Regions from separate parts of the Mus musculus genome. Here regions 2 and 3 are each reported to be linked to region 1. The links are microRNA targets in miRTarBase. Many come from high-throughput screens and were not tested one by one. Region 1 holds a microRNA gene; each other region holds the end of a gene's coding sequence.
What was found. Region 1 holds the annotated microRNA mmu-miR-466h-5p (UGUGUGCAUGUGCUUGUGUGUA, at 1,972-1,993, shown strand). A microRNA usually pairs through its seed, bases 2 to 8, with sites in the 3' UTR of a target mRNA and lowers its output. Matches are read on the target gene's strand: a 7mer-m8 pairs with bases 2 to 8, a 7mer-A1 pairs with bases 2 to 7 and ends in A, and an 8mer does both.

Region 2: miRTarBase lists Epas1 as a target of mmu-miR-466h-5p. Seed matches in the 3' UTR shown: 8mer at 3,629-3,636, 8mer at 3,499-3,506, 8mer at 3,437-3,444 and 7mer-A1 at 2,138-2,144.
Region 3: the mRNA of Nsun3 is a reported target of mmu-miR-466h-5p. Seed matches in the 3' UTR shown: 7mer-A1 at 991-997.

The regions. Positions count from the first base shown.
Region 1 is chr2:10,512,930-10,518,005 of GRCm38, forward strand. Mir466h (microRNA 466h) reads left to right here and starts at 1,962; the gene lies at 1,962-2,042. All of the region lies in intron 10 of Sfmbt2 (Scm-like with four mbt domains 2), which reads left to right. Mir669m-2 (microRNA 669m-2) reads left to right here and starts at 505; the gene lies at 505-602. Mir466n (microRNA 466n) reads left to right here and starts at 812; the gene lies at 812-905. It also overlaps Mir669o, Mir466g, Mir297a-3, Mir466l, Mir297a-4 and Mir669i.
Region 2 is chr17:86,830,195-86,835,263 of GRCm38, reverse strand. Epas1 (endothelial PAS domain protein 1) reads right to left here. Exons shown (of 16, transcript NM_010137.3): 16 at 1,854-4,313. The coding sequence ends at 4,162. Among named protein-coding and RNA genes, the nearest start is that of Epas1, 79 kb to the right of the region's middle.
Region 3 is chr16:62,730,883-62,735,951 of GRCm38, reverse strand. It overlaps Nsun3 (NOL1/NOP2/Sun domain family member 3), which reads left to right. Exons shown (of 6, transcript NM_178925.3): 6 at 534-1,100. The coding sequence ends at 837. Among named protein-coding and RNA genes, the nearest start is that of Gm52231, 22 kb to the left of the region's middle.

The sequences.
Region 1 (5,076 bases):
ACTTAGAGTTTTAGAGACTGCAGTAGTGGGACAGTGAATGGTCTCAGTCACCAGCTGTAAATGATTGACAAAGTCTGGAGAATCAGGATTTCAAATTCATGATTAACTTCAGTTAGAGATTATCCTGGTATTCCTGTGATGCCACCCATGTATGTGCATGTGTGTTTACATGTGTGTGCGTGTACATCTGTGTAAATGAATATATATATATATATATATATATACATATATATATATATATATATATATATATATATATATATATAACATAAACATACATGTATATGGACACACGTATGCACACATACACACAAGGAATGGAATTCATTGATATGTTTGAATGATATGTGATTTTGAGCTTTAAAGGTTATGTAGTACTGGTCAAATGAAAGTTTTTCTCACTATGTAAAAGCTTGCCATATTCAGAGGGGTCAGGAATTCATATTCATAAATAAATTCAAAAGAGAGTAGAGATCAGCCTGATTTTATGGGGTTCCCCACAATATATTTGCATGTGTGTATAGTTTTGTGTGCATGTGCATGTGTGTATATGAATATACATATACATCCACACAAACATATACAAGCATGCACAGATATACACACACACAGAAATGGCACCCATAGATCATTTTGAGTGACATGTGACATGTGACATGTGAGTTTTAGAGAGTATGCCGTGCTGGGCCAATGAATGCTCTCACTCACAAGGTAAAGACCCTTGCCAGATTCAGGATGATCAAGAGTGTAAATTCATGTTGGTTGCATGATGAGTTGGAGATCAGCCTGGCATTCATGTGATGGCTCCTGTGTATGTGCATGTGTGTTTGTGTGTGCGTACATGTACATGTGTGTATATGAATATGCATATACATGAGAGCATACATAGACACACGTGCATGTGCGCTTGCATGCGCGTGCGTGCACACACACACACACACACACAGAGGATATGTGATTTACAGTCTTATAGATTATGTAGTAGTGGGTAATGAATGGTCGCACTCATCATGTGTAAACAATTTGCAGATTCAAGAAGATCAGGAGTTCAAATTCATGCTTAACTTCAGCTGGACATCATCCTGGTATTCATGTGATGCCACCCGTGTATGTGCATGTGTGTTTACAGGTGTGTGCATGTGAATGTATATATATGAGTATACATGTACAGACACATGCAGCACACACACACACACGAATGCCACTCATTGATCCATTTGAATGATATGTCACTTAGCATATTAGAGATTATGCAGTACTTGGCCAGTGAGTGCTCTCATTCTCTAGGTGAAAATCCTTGCTAGAGTTAAGAGTATCCCGAGTTCAAATTCATACTTATCCTCATGAGAGATCAGCCTGTGATTCCTCCATGCATGTGCATGTGTGTATAGTTGTGTGTGCATGTTTATGTGTGTATTTGAATATACATAACATACACACACACGTATAAACACAAGCACACACACACAGACACAAGAATGACACTCATCAATCCATTTGAATGATAACTGACTTAAGAGTTTTAGAGATTATGCAATAGGGGACAGTGAATGGTTTCACTCACCAGGTGTAAATGATTGACAGAGTCAGGTTAATCAGGATTTCAAATTCATGCTTAACTTCAGTTATAGATCATTCATGTGATGCCACCCATTTATGTCGATGTGTGTTTTCGTGTGTGTGCATGTGGATGTATGTATATGATTTTGCATATACAGACACATGCACACACATGCGGCACACACACACACACACAAATGACACTCATCGATCCATTTGAATGATATGTCACTTAGAGTTTTAGAGATTATGCAGTTCTGGGACAGTGCGTGATCTCACTCTCCAGGTCAAAATGTATGCTGGAATCAGGAGTTTTAGGAGTTCAAATTCATGCTTAACTTCATGATGATTTTAAGATCAGCCTGTGATTCATGTGATTCTCAGCCATGTATGTCCATGTGTGTATATTTGTGTGTGCATGTGCTTGTGTGTATGTGAATATATATATCATACGCACGCACACACACACACAAATGCAAGCACATACACTCTCACACACAGAGGAATTGAATTCATCCATTAATTTGAATGCTATGTGACTTATTCTTTTAGAGATTATGCAGTAGTGGGACAGTGAACGGTCTCACTCGCCATGTGCAAACATATTACAGATTGAGCAGGGTCGGGAGTTCAAATTCATGCTTAACTTCAGCTGGACATCATCCTGGTATTCATGTGATGCCACCCGTGTATGTGCATGTGTGTTTACGTCCCTGTGTATGCACATGTGTGTATATAAATATACATACCATAAACATACATGTAAATGCAAGCACACAAACATGGAATGGCATTCATTGATACATTTGAATGATGTGTGACATAGAGCTTTAAAGATTATGTAGTATTGGGCTAATGAAACTTTTTACTCACAATGTGAAAAAGCTTCCCATATTCAGAAGGATTAGGAGTTCAAATTTATGAATAACTTCAAAATGGCTTAGAGATCAGCCTGGCTTTATGGGTTCCTTCCCAGTGTATGTTCATGTTGCATAGTTTTGTGTGCTAATGTATGTGTGCATATGAATATACATATAAATACACACAAACACATACACACAGGCACACACACACACACACACACACACACACACACATACACACACACACACACACACACACACACATACCCCGAATGGCACTCATTGATACTTTTAAATGACATGTGACTTAAAGTTTTAGAGATTATGCAGGGCTGGATCAGTGGGTGCTCTCACTCACAAGGTGAAAATGCTTGCCAGAGTCAGGAGGATCAGGAGTGGAAATTCATTCTCAAATTCATGAGTCCAGGATCAGCTTCGGATTCTAGTGATGCCCCCAGTGTATGTGCCTGTGTGTATATGTATGTGTGCATGTGCATGTGTGTATATGAATATACATATACATACACACATACCCATACAAACATGCACACAAACACACAGAAAATTGACACTCATCGATCCATTTCAATGATATGTGAGTCTTAGAGATTCTGTATGACTGGGCCACAGAGAGGTCTCACTCACCAGGTGACGCCCCTTGCCAGAGCCAGGATGATCAGGAGTGCAAATTCATGTTCACTGCATGATGAGGTAGAGATCAACCTGGCATTCATGTGATGACCCCTATGTATGTGCATGTGTGTTTGTGTGTACATGTACATGTATATATATATTGATATACATATAAATACATGCACACATATTCATGCATGCACACGCACACATTAATGGCACTCTTAGATCCATTTGAATAACATGTGACTTAGAGGTGAGAGATTATGCAGTACGGGGACAGTGAGTGTTCTCACTCATCAGGTGTAGACAACTGCCAGAGTCAGGTCTATCAGGAGCTTAAATGCATGCTTACACTCATGAGGACTTAGAGATCAGCCTGTGATTTATGTGATTCCCCCCATGCATGTGAACGTGTGTATAGTTGTGTGTGCATGTGTGTATATGAATATATATAACATCCACACATGTATAAATGCAAGCACAGAAACACACAAACATAGGAATGGTACTCATCGATCCATTTGAATGATATATGACTTAGAGTTTTAGAGATTATGCAGTAGAGGGACAGTGAATGGTCTCAATCACCAGGTGTAAATGATTGACAAAGTCAGGAGGATCAGGAGTTCAAACTCCATTTAGAGATCATCCTGGTATTCATTTGATGCCACCCATGTATGTGCACGTGTGCTTACATGTGTGTGCATGTTCATGAATGTATATGGATATGCATGTGCAGACACACACACACATGCAACACACACACAAACACATGGTGACTTGCATTCATCTACTTGCATAATATGTGACTAAGAGTTTTAAAGATTATGCAGTACTGTGCCCGTGCATGCTCTTACTCAACAGGTCAAAGTGCTTGCCAGAGTCAGGCCTTAAAGGTATGTGACTTAGAGTTTGAGAGATTATGCAGGGCTGGATCAGTGGGTGCTCTCACTCACAAGGTGAAAATGCTTGCCAGAGTCAGGAGGATCAGGAGTGGAAATTCATTCTCAAATTCATGATTAGGTAGGGATCAGCTTCAGATTCATGTGATGGCGCCCCCCCCCCCCAGTGTATGTGCCTGTGTGTATATGTATGTGTGCATGTGCATGTGTGTATATGAGTATACATATACATACACACATACCCATACAAGCATGCACACAAATACACGCAAAATCGCCACTCATGGATCCATTTGAATGATATGTGACTTAGTCTTAGAGGTTCTGTATGACTGGGCCAGTGCGTGATCTCACTCACCGGGTGAATAATCCTTCCAGAGTCAGGAGGATCAGGAATTCGAATTCATGCTTAACTTCATAATGAGTTAGAGATCAGATGCGATTCGTGTGATGCCCACCAAAAATGTGCATGGGTGTATAGTTGTGTGCATATTCATTTCTCTATATGAATATGCATATACACGCAAGCACACACAGGAATGGCACTCATATATCCTTTTGAATGGTATGTGACTTAGAGCTTTAGAGTTTATCCAGTAACGGACCAGAGCTATGTCTCAGTTAGGAGGTGAGTATTCTTGCCAGAGTCAGGAGGATCAGGAGGTCTAATTTATGTTTAACTTCCTGATGAGTTAGAGATCATCCTGGCATTCATGTGATGCCCACCAATAATGTGCATGTGTGTATAGTTGTGTGCATATTCATTTCTCTATATGACTATGCATATACACACATGCATACAAACTCACATACAGGAATGACAGTCATATATCCTTTTGAATGATATGTGACTCAGAGCTTTAGAGCTTATGCAGTACTGGGCCAGAGCTATGCCTCAGTTAGGAGGTGGATACTCTTTCCAGAGTCAGGAGGATACGGAGTTCAAATTCATGTTTAACTTCATGATGAGTTAGAGATCAGCCTGGAATTCATTTGATTGTCCTTGTGTATGTGTATATATGTGTAGGTAAGTGTGCTTGTACATGCATGTATATGAACATACACACACACATACATATACACATAAGAATGGCAGTCATAGATCTGTTTGATTT
Region 2 (5,069 bases), not on the chromosome of region 1:
AGGTGGTTGAAGCTTAGATGTCATAGAGGATACGGGTCTGCATCATATCTTCAGGTAAACCACAGCTCAGCATTTGACCAATCTGTCCTGCTTTGAGGGGATGGGGTTGGCCAAGCTCCATGGGGTGAGGAGGAGCCCCTGGTGCTCCAACCTTGGGGTCTGAGTTCCCCTCCCAGAAAGTGTTCTGATTTGGAGGCTACTGTGTTAACACTGAGGCTGAGATAGCCCCACTGAGAGGAGACTCCTACAGCCAGGAGGAGCTCAAGAGGCTCAACGGCTCTCACTTTCACGCAGGGACCTGATCCTGCTGCTGTGTGCGCCACATGCCGGAACATACCTGCTCCTAAACCACAACGTAAAATCGGGAGGAGACAAGCCAGTCTTTCCTGAACACCTTGATACAATATGTGAAGCAGCAGTGGCTGACGTGGGCACTGCGTCTTAGGCTCACATACCCCAAAGAAGAGCAAATTCCTACCAACCCATCAGGAACAGTGGCATCTTATTTTTCCCCTTTGCTTGCTTGCTGAACTTTGAAGTCAGAGGCATTGAATACTGTGCCCACTCCACCAGGGCCTGGAGGGTCAACCAGAGCTTTAGGTATGGGGTTAAAGCCAAAGAACAGCATTATAGGCCCCTCTGAAGTCACTGGGGACAAGGAGAGTGCTCCTCCAGGAGAAGTCTGCCATTCCCAGGGGAGCCGAGGAAGAGGAGAGCCCAAGATGGTGGATGAAGGTGAGGGGGAGTTTGGCCGGGCCCAGAAACTCCAACTCAAGATCCAGAGATCAAGTCAGGAGGAAAAGAATAGAAGCAAAATCCCCACAATGCCTAGAGTTAAACTAAGACTGACTGGAGTGTTCTTTTTAGATTTGTTATTTTATGTGGTATGTTTTGCTCACGTGCATATATGTGTACAATGTGCCTACCTGGTGCCCATGAAGGCACCAAAAGTAGACATCAGAGCTGCTGGGACTGGGTTATAGATAGTTGTGAGCCGTCATGTGGGCGTTAGAAATGAAACCCTGGTCTTGTACCAGGGCAAGTGCTCTTACTCGCCGAGCCGGCGGCTCCGTGCTCAGACAGGAGTTTTCTATTTGAAAATGTAAACAGGCCCTAGCATAAGCCATAGCTCACAGCCAGCTCTGGGTCTTGAGCCTTGTGACTGTGTGACATGTGGAAGTAAGTCACTGTGGGTCCTAGTCTCATCTACGAAATTATACGCATGGCATTGCTTAGGCCGATGGAGCTAAGGAGATCATTGTGAACCCAAGACATCAGGAGCACAAGGGATACTGGGACAGCTGATTATATGTAGGGCTGACTGTAAGAGATGCTGCTGGCCTTATCCCTCCCCCTTGATCACCAGAAGAGTGGCTTTCACAGAAGCCACATCTGGAATAGGGACCCATCAGGTCCATGCCTAGCAGTAAGCTTCTGCTGTGCTCGGTCTCTGCCTGAAGACTTTTTCTTTCCTACCTACTATACTACCTAGGAAGGCCTTGACTCTACAGTGATGCCCTTGGCCCAGGGTGCCCTTCTCCTTGGACCTCAGTGCCTCGTGTGGGTCTCTGAAGTGAGAGCCCATGGTTTCTTCCCTTCTTTCCCAGCATGCAAGGAAAGGGCCTTGGCTAGACACATAGTAGCTACAGAAATGCAGAAGATAGCGACCAGCTCCTGGGCTCAGGCAACTGTCAGGCACAAACGCCTTCCTTCATTGGACTTCCTGTGGGGTGGTCTCAGGCTGGTCTAGTTTAGCTCCAAAGTCCATTTCTGTGTGCTCTTGAGTAAGAACCCTATTTTTCCAACGGCACAGTCCACGGTAAATGCACAGAAAACAAGAGGCACGAGCAGGATAGGATCAGAATACTTTAATAAGATATCAGTGTCAAAATACATTTCCTTATAAAGTTAAGCTCCCGTACAGTTATAATGTCGTCAGTAGGAATTTGACAATGCAGTAATGGTCATGAAGTTGTTACATGGACAGGAAAGGTTAATACGAAACTCGGAATATTTCTCAGAGTGTCTTTAGTAGAACTGCAAACGGAAATGCCCTTAACGCTGAGGCAACAACACAGGAAATCAAACACCAGCATTTGCATGTCAATAACCCTTCAAGTTCCGTCGCCCGCCTGCGTGTGTGCCAGGCCACACTGTGCACCGATGCGCAGCTTGGACAACACCATGCCTAGGTAATGTCAGGTAGACTGACCTTCAGAGTTAATTTTTGGTTTGAGCAGCAAGTCCCCTTAGGCTTACTGTACTCTTGCCTGATGGGCTTTGTGTGTGTTGAGAGTTTTATTGTACCCGAGTCAACAACACCTTATGTTGATTGGTATCGCAAACCCAAAAGGTGCTTCCCCTCCCCCTCAGTGAGTTACAAAGTGCTCTTGGAACACGATTTTCAGTGCTTTCTACCTGTTCAGTGTCACACTTCATGTGACTGAGACCTCAGCTAGAGGCTGTCCTTGGAGGTCTGCCCGCTGCTCGCCAGCAGGGGGCGCTGCACCGTGGCTTCGCAGGGTCATTTGCCCGGCAAGCTGTGATCTGTGGCAGGGTGTAGGGCTGGTCAGACCTGCTACCCTCCACCTGGCACCCACTCCCAGTTTAGCTCCAAGGACTAGGTCACTACATTTGTGAATCCTAACTTGCTTTATGAATTCCCATTAAAAACATTTCATGGTAGCTGTGCCAACCCAAACGTGCCGCAGGAGAGAGATTGGCAGTCTCGTAGCTCAGTGTGCTAGAAGGGCTAGCAACATTGCCTGAAAAAAAGTGAGAGCGCTTCCTTCCAGCTCGCCTGCGACATGCCCTCAGAGCCTGCAAGCCCCGAGCCCTCATAGCGGCAACAGCACACACGTACATAATACACTGAGAACACGAAAAGATAGCTTGCAATGTTCCCCCTTAATGACTTCTCTCCTGGGACTGTCACACCGCTGCCATATCACAAAAGCAAAAAGTCACCAGAGAGAAAGAAAGAGAGATCTGTGGCGGTTAGTCAGGCCTGTGGGAGTACTGCACAGGTCTACAGTGTCCAGAACACTGAGAAAAATAAAATTAACAGCCCTAAAAGATCTTAAAAGTGATTCTTGTGAGCAAGATCCCATTTCTAAGCTTTTAGATATTACAGAGTACCCATATATATGATAAACACTAAACCCGGATATAAATTCTTCTTAAAAAACCAAACAAAACAAAACTCAGTTTTGCTTTTGAATAATAGTTAAAAAAATCCACTGGACCCGGGGAGAGATGGGGGCATTACCAGACAGCTTCGAACACCACCGCGTGGCTTCACAGGTAACCCTAGAGTTGATTCTTCACATTGCTTTTTTGCCCCATACTAAGTCGTATGAAAAAACCGGAGCAAAGAGTTGGCTTTAAAAACACAAAATTTTACAATATGGTGATTAGATGTGTGTGTGTGTGTGTGTGTGTGCACGCATACGTGCATGTGTGTATATGTGTGTAGGGGTGTGTGTGTGTGTGTGTGTGTGTGTGCACGCATACGTGCATGTGTGTATATGTGTGTAGGGGTGTGTGTGTGTGTGTGTGTGTGTGTGTATATGTGTGTGTGTGTGTGTGTGTGTAGGGGTGTGTGTGTGTGTGTGTGTGTGTGTGTGTGTGTGTGCACGCATACGTGCATGTGTGTATATGTGTGTAGGGGTGTGTGTGTGTGTGTGTGTATGTGGGGGTGGGGGAGAGGGAGAATCCACAGTGGAGGAAAATCCTTTTCTCTTTGGCAACAAGAACAAGAACACTTGAGTTGAATGACGCCAAAGCTTTCCTAGGGAGAGGCACCAGCCACCATGCTTGTTAGTATGGATATGAATGAGAGAGAGAAAAACCTTTGGGGAATATAAATTAGAAGTAATTCAAGGGAGGGAGGGAGGGGGAAATCTTATAAAATTTCAGAACACTTTCATCAACGGTAAAACATAGCAGGTACAACAACTATGTATTTTTAAAACATGGATAATAAAGTGAGCATGTCAGATAAAGGCCACTGCTTGGTGACCTGGCCAGTAGGCCAGGTTGAGTACATCTCGTAAGAAGTGTGCTGGTGTTAGAGATACCTAATAGCAACACAGATGGAAGTGAAGCTGGCAGGTCAAGACGGCGGGGCAGGCAGGGGCATGCCCGGCCAGAGGCCCTGGCTCAGGTGGCCTGGTCCAGAGCTCTGAGAAGGTCTCTCCCCTGCAGGAGTGTGGAGCTTCCAGGCACGGGCACGTTCACCTCACAGTCATATCTGGTCAGTTCCGGCAACAGGTAAGGCTCGAACGATGGCCCCAGCAGTCGACTGGCCACGCCTGAGAGGAGGGAGAGGAGGGTGTTTTAGAGGACTGGCACACACCTGCTCCGCTGGCTGTAGATGACCAGAGGAAAGGGCATGCATGCAAACAACTGTGTCTCCAGCTTCCAGCAACTTCCGATGCAGCAGCACTCTGGCCCTGGGGCTCCATCCCCTGTTCAGAGGACGGAGCCAGAAGAGGACATGCCACAGCAGTGGTGAGATCCAAAGATGGCTGGAGCGAGAGCAGAGCTCTCTCAGTTTAGAGACAGAGCTGGGTCCCAGTGTGCTCTCCCTTCTGGGGTCCACACTTCCCGTTGCCTGCACTCCTACCAACAGATGCCCTGCCCTTCTTAAATTCACCTCCTTTCGGTCTATGGGCAGAAACGATCTATGTTGAAATTAGTTTTGCTTCGCATTCAACAGCTGGGGAAACCTGTCATTTGCTGACTACAGCTGCCCAGATGTGTATACCGGGGGTGAGTGATGTGTGGTCCTCTCTTTAAACTTTAAACTTTCTCTTTTAAGACTTCTGGCTTGCAAGCCCACCTGCTGGTAAACAACAGAACTGAAATATCAGCCCAGGGCTTTTGGGTTCTTCAGATGGAATTCTAAGAACACAACTATAAATTTTCCCCAACTCTGCTACTGTAGACAAGGCTCTGGAATTTTCTTTCTCAAACCACAGATTGTTTGTGCCGAGCAAAGGCGTCTATGGGAACACTTGTGTGTTTCAGTGGCAATAGCTGAACTTACTGGATCACCAGGCTACCCT
Region 3 (5,069 bases), not on the chromosome of region 1:
GAGGAACTGATTTAAAGGCGTGCAGTATTAGGACCTTTGAATCCACTGCTCTAGAGGATCCCTTTAAAGTAGAGGGCAAAGGTCTTGGGTTTGAGGAATAGACCACCACAGCTGCCTTATATCCCCACAAATTACTTATTCCTCTTCCTAGGTGAATAACCTCTGATTTTACATGATAGGCCAACCTGGAGTACACAGAGTAAGATCAATGATTTTTTTTTTTTTGTCTGTTTTCAATTAGAGTGTTTTTTTTTCCTATTATATTTCCATGACTTAAAACACAGTATCTCTTTTCTTTCCCTGGCTCCCTATCATTAAAGGAACCAATCATCAGCTAAACTCACTTTCTCTGACTTTTCCATCTTGATGTATCTGGTTTGTTTGCAGTGATAAATGCAAACAAACTATAACTAGGGTCAGAAAACCACTAGTTACTGTATCCTTAGCCGGAGTAAGGCTGGTATGTCGTTTCCTTGACTTGGATTGCCTACTTGACTTGTGCCTAACTCTTCTATTTTCTCCATTATACACAGGTCTGCAATTAAAGCCTTGCGCCCCGGAGGGCTCCTCGTGTACTCTACATGCACGCTTTCCAAGGCTGAAAATCAAGATGTGATCAGCGAGGTCTTAACTTCCGACAGTAACATCGTACCTGTGGATATTAGTGGGATAGCAAGGACTTTCTCCCAAGACTTCACATTTGCCCCTACTGACCAGAAATGCAGCCTTTTGGTGATTCCGGAAAAGGGCAAAGCTTGGGGCCCAATGTATATAGCCAAACTGAAAAAAGGGATGAGTACAAGAAAAAGGCAAGGCGAATTTTGTAAGCCATGCTGATGTGTTATTGAATGCATATTTTCTGAGCTCACCACGTGTTAGTTGTTAGGTGTAGCTCTTTGCTTCTCTGCCTTAGTTCCAGGAATGGACTGAGCTACCAGCTCCCACCCACCTTCCCTTGAATCCACGGATAAAAGTCGAGCGCGCGCGCGCGCACACACACACACACACACACACACACACACACATCACACGGCTATTCCTTTTCAACTTACCTTCTTGGCACAATTGCTGCATGCTGTTATCTCCCGCCTGGAAAAACATGCTCTTATCAGTATTCTTAGTCCACATCTCCCACCCACCCTAAACTTTAGCTGCTAAACTCCCCTGACCACCGGTCTATAAGAGCAGCCTGTGTGGCCACCCCATTTTGAGATCTCACATGGCTGGACAACTTTTCTCCATCAGAAGACCAGCAAACTCTGTCTCTCCTTCCTTGTGTCTGTCTTTTTTCCTTCAGGGACCTGGAAGTTTCACTTATTCCTTCCTCCCCACAATTGGCTATGGCTTCTTTACTGACAGATCAAGAACCAATTGAGGAACAGGACAGCATCAGAACCGCCCCTACAGTTAGTGTTTAACTACTTACAGAGCCACTTTCCCTAGGACCACTTGGCTTCTGTTTAGTTAGTATTTCAGCCTCAATGAGCATAGGATTAAGAAATTTTCAGGTACAATTTTGCTCCTGGAAATATATGTATAGTGATGATTTAAAGTGGGACAGATGGTGTTGGTTCTGTATAATAATTTTTTGTCTTTTAATTGGGACTTTATAGATAAATTAATTAGAATACTGAGTTCTGTGCATAAAATGTTTAGGACCGTATTCTATAACATGAGTGTTTTAAATCTTTCCATTAAAAATGTGTATTTGTCAACACTTTTACTGTTTCCTCATCAAATCTGCAGAATCTTTTAGTAGGAATAATTGGTATTCGGAGGCTAACTTCTTAAGCAGCACAATTTCTAGTTCTAGCAAAATAGGTTTCTTGTTTGCGGAGTTGTTCTGTGTTAAGTTAAGGACTGTCTTCTGTTTACTGCAGAGGGCAGTGACTCTGTTGACACCAGCTTGATTTCTCCCCATTTGCATTTATTCACAAATACAAACTGAAAGGGTAAATTATGTTCAAAGGCCTTTAGAGCAACAGATTCACACGCACGCATTTGACTTTCGACATTCAGCTTGTAGAATAATGGAGTCTATCCAGCAGGCTATAAAGCAAGCACTTGAAACAAAACCAGAATGATTAATAACGGCAATAACTGAACTATATTTGGAGTGTTTTGTTACATAATTGCAGTCATAATGAGTACTACAGAATCTGATTATCTTACAGTTGCAATCTGGAGTGGCTTTTTATTTCACTTGGTTATAAAATGTTATATGAGAGTGTGATGTCACATATTAATATAGAAGATGCCTACCTAATAAGAGTCAATTCTTTATTACCAAGACCCCAAACCATTCAGAGTGGTCTCTATTTACACATATCCCAAGAATTTTGTGTGTGCTTCTATATTTATACTTAGGCTTTTTTAAAATCAATTTTCAATCTTAAATTTTTCTTTAGAAATGCTTCAGTTGGATCCAAACATTTTTCCAACTATTAAGAAAAATCACAGTGGCAGACATGGCACTGCACACCTGTAGTCACAGCATTTTGGGGGCTGAGGTGGAAGAATTATAAATTCAAGTCAGCCTTGGCTGCCTAGCAAGACCCTCCTCAAGGATGATGTAGGGAGGAGAGAGGGAAGGGGGAAGGCTAGAGCAGGAGAGAAAAATCACAAAGCATACTTGAAATTGGAAATTAGCTTTTTATTTTCATTAAGATTTATTTATTTTTATCTTATTTTATATGTATAAATATCTTGGCAACATGTATGTCTGCGTACCATGTGCATACCTGTTGCATGGGGAAGTCAGAACTGGACATCAGGTCCTCCAGAACTGAGATATATAGATGGTTTTGAACCACCATATAGGTGCTTGGAATCAAAAGCTCGTCTTCTGTATAAGCAACAAGTGCTGTTAACTGCTGAGCTATCTCTCAAGCCCAAAAGTAGCTTAAAAAAATCACCTGTGGAAGCACAAAATTCCATGGATCCAGAGTGGAGAGTGTTCTGTTCTATGCATTAAGCTATCCAGTACATACTTTTTGTTTTGCACATCTGTGTAACTGGAGTCAAATGAATGACAGTCTAGGAAAAATCATCTACCTTTGTTCTTGACAATATCTTAAACTATATCTGACCAGTGTGTTTATAGTAAATGTTTATCTCTTGGGCCTATCTAATGTATTCAGTTAATACAGAAGATTAATGATAGAAAAGGTTTTTTTTTTTGTTTTGTTTTGTTTTAGTTGGAAGTAGTGTTTGTATTTCTGCTTGAATTCCTGTCTTTGGATTCTGTAGTTTTAAAAGTGCTTTTGTATAAGTTAACCACAATGTAAATCTTCACAGTACACACACAGTTGTGTGTGTTGAATGTCATTATTTTTCCAGTATAATGTCATGATACTTCAAATGAACACTAGGTGTGGTATTGGACTTGATTATCTTGGGATTGATGAAAATATATGTCTTAATGCATATATTCATCGACTTTATTATTAAGATGATTGTAACAAAACAGCAAACATTTATTGAGCATTAAATGCTTGATTGAAGTCTTTATGATGCCTTTTTTTGACCTTTATAACTGTGGCCAGGAATGGTGGTGATGGGTGTCAGTAATCAGCCTTTGGGAGGGAGAGGCCTGCCAATGACTGGCCACAAAGGGAGACATAGTCTCAAAACAAGCAAACAACCAAGTGAACAGCCACTGGTAATGAGTTTGTATTCCTCTCTGTAAATGAGGGAAGCAAAGCCCAGTGTTATCTGTTTGTCAAGGACACTGCCAAGTTAAGAAGAGAACTCAGATGCGAGCTGGCTCCATTGCCAGCCCTTCCTACTGTCACTGTGTTGTCTCACTCAGTATGGATTGTATGATCTTCAAGATTAGTGGCTGCCTTTATGCCTATTCTCCACTGTTCGGTTTTCTGTTTATGCACAATTCTCTATTCCCAGAGCACCAAGTACAGATCATCAGAGCTTGATCAGTACTTGGGAAAGAAAAGGCTTTGAAATATATCAGTCCTATTCGGAGGAAGTATGCCTTGTGATTGTTATACTAAGGATTCTCCCATGGAGGCATTTTGTGCCTCCCTCTTTGTTATGCATGGTGAGCTGAAGAATGGATATTTGGGCAGCCTTGCAATGTCAACCAAAAACCAAGAAGTAATAAATGCTTCTTTCTGTGGCATGAAGTCACTTTCAAAACAGCTTCATCAAATTTAGGTCACCTACCAACACATTAACTGCTCCTGCCATCAGCACACTGAACAGCCACTAGTTTCACAAATAGACTAAGAATAAATGTAATGCATTTAAATGGTTTGTACTGAGTTTTTAAAGCATAAGACGCTATTTGTGGTTTGGAGTCAAGGTAGCCTACTATTCTTTATCCCATTACATATATCCATTTAGCCTTATACTTAAATTACATATTATTCCCCTAGTGGTACTGTAAAAAAAAATACGCTTTCATATAATGTAGGTAGGTATAAAAACTGACTACCTGAATACATGGTACATGAATAAATAATCAAGGCCTAATAGACCTTTCTTCAAGAAGCCTGTATACCTGGTGAGAAGCACTGGGTCATCTGCATAGGCTAATGTAGCTCATCTAAAATACAAGAGAAAATCCGAATGCATGGTGACAATCGTATTACATGCCAAGAAGTCCTTTGATGCAATTGAATGGGGCTACTTGTGTTATGTGTTAGGTAAATTTGACTTTAGGGACAAATAGAGCAGATAGCACAATTTATTTTCAACTCCTTTATTTGGTTCAAATCAATGGTTTACAATCTCCCTTCCCTGGCTTATTACTGCACTGGGGTTGGAAGCAAGGATAAGGCCCATTTCTAATGTTCCTCTCCAGGCTGACAGTGATACTTCCAATCTCACCCGATCCCAGGGGCACCTACAGAACCCTCAGATGGAAGCTCAGATGGAAGTTAAATACTACATGCTGCTTGCTGCTAGTCTACAAGTGGTGAGAGCCCTAACACCATCTATCCTGAAGAAATTAACTGGAATGTCAGGAATTCAGTGGTATCAGGATGCAAAGTCAGTGGGAGAGAATCAGAAATATTATCTTGACACAATACTTTCTACAAACATGACAA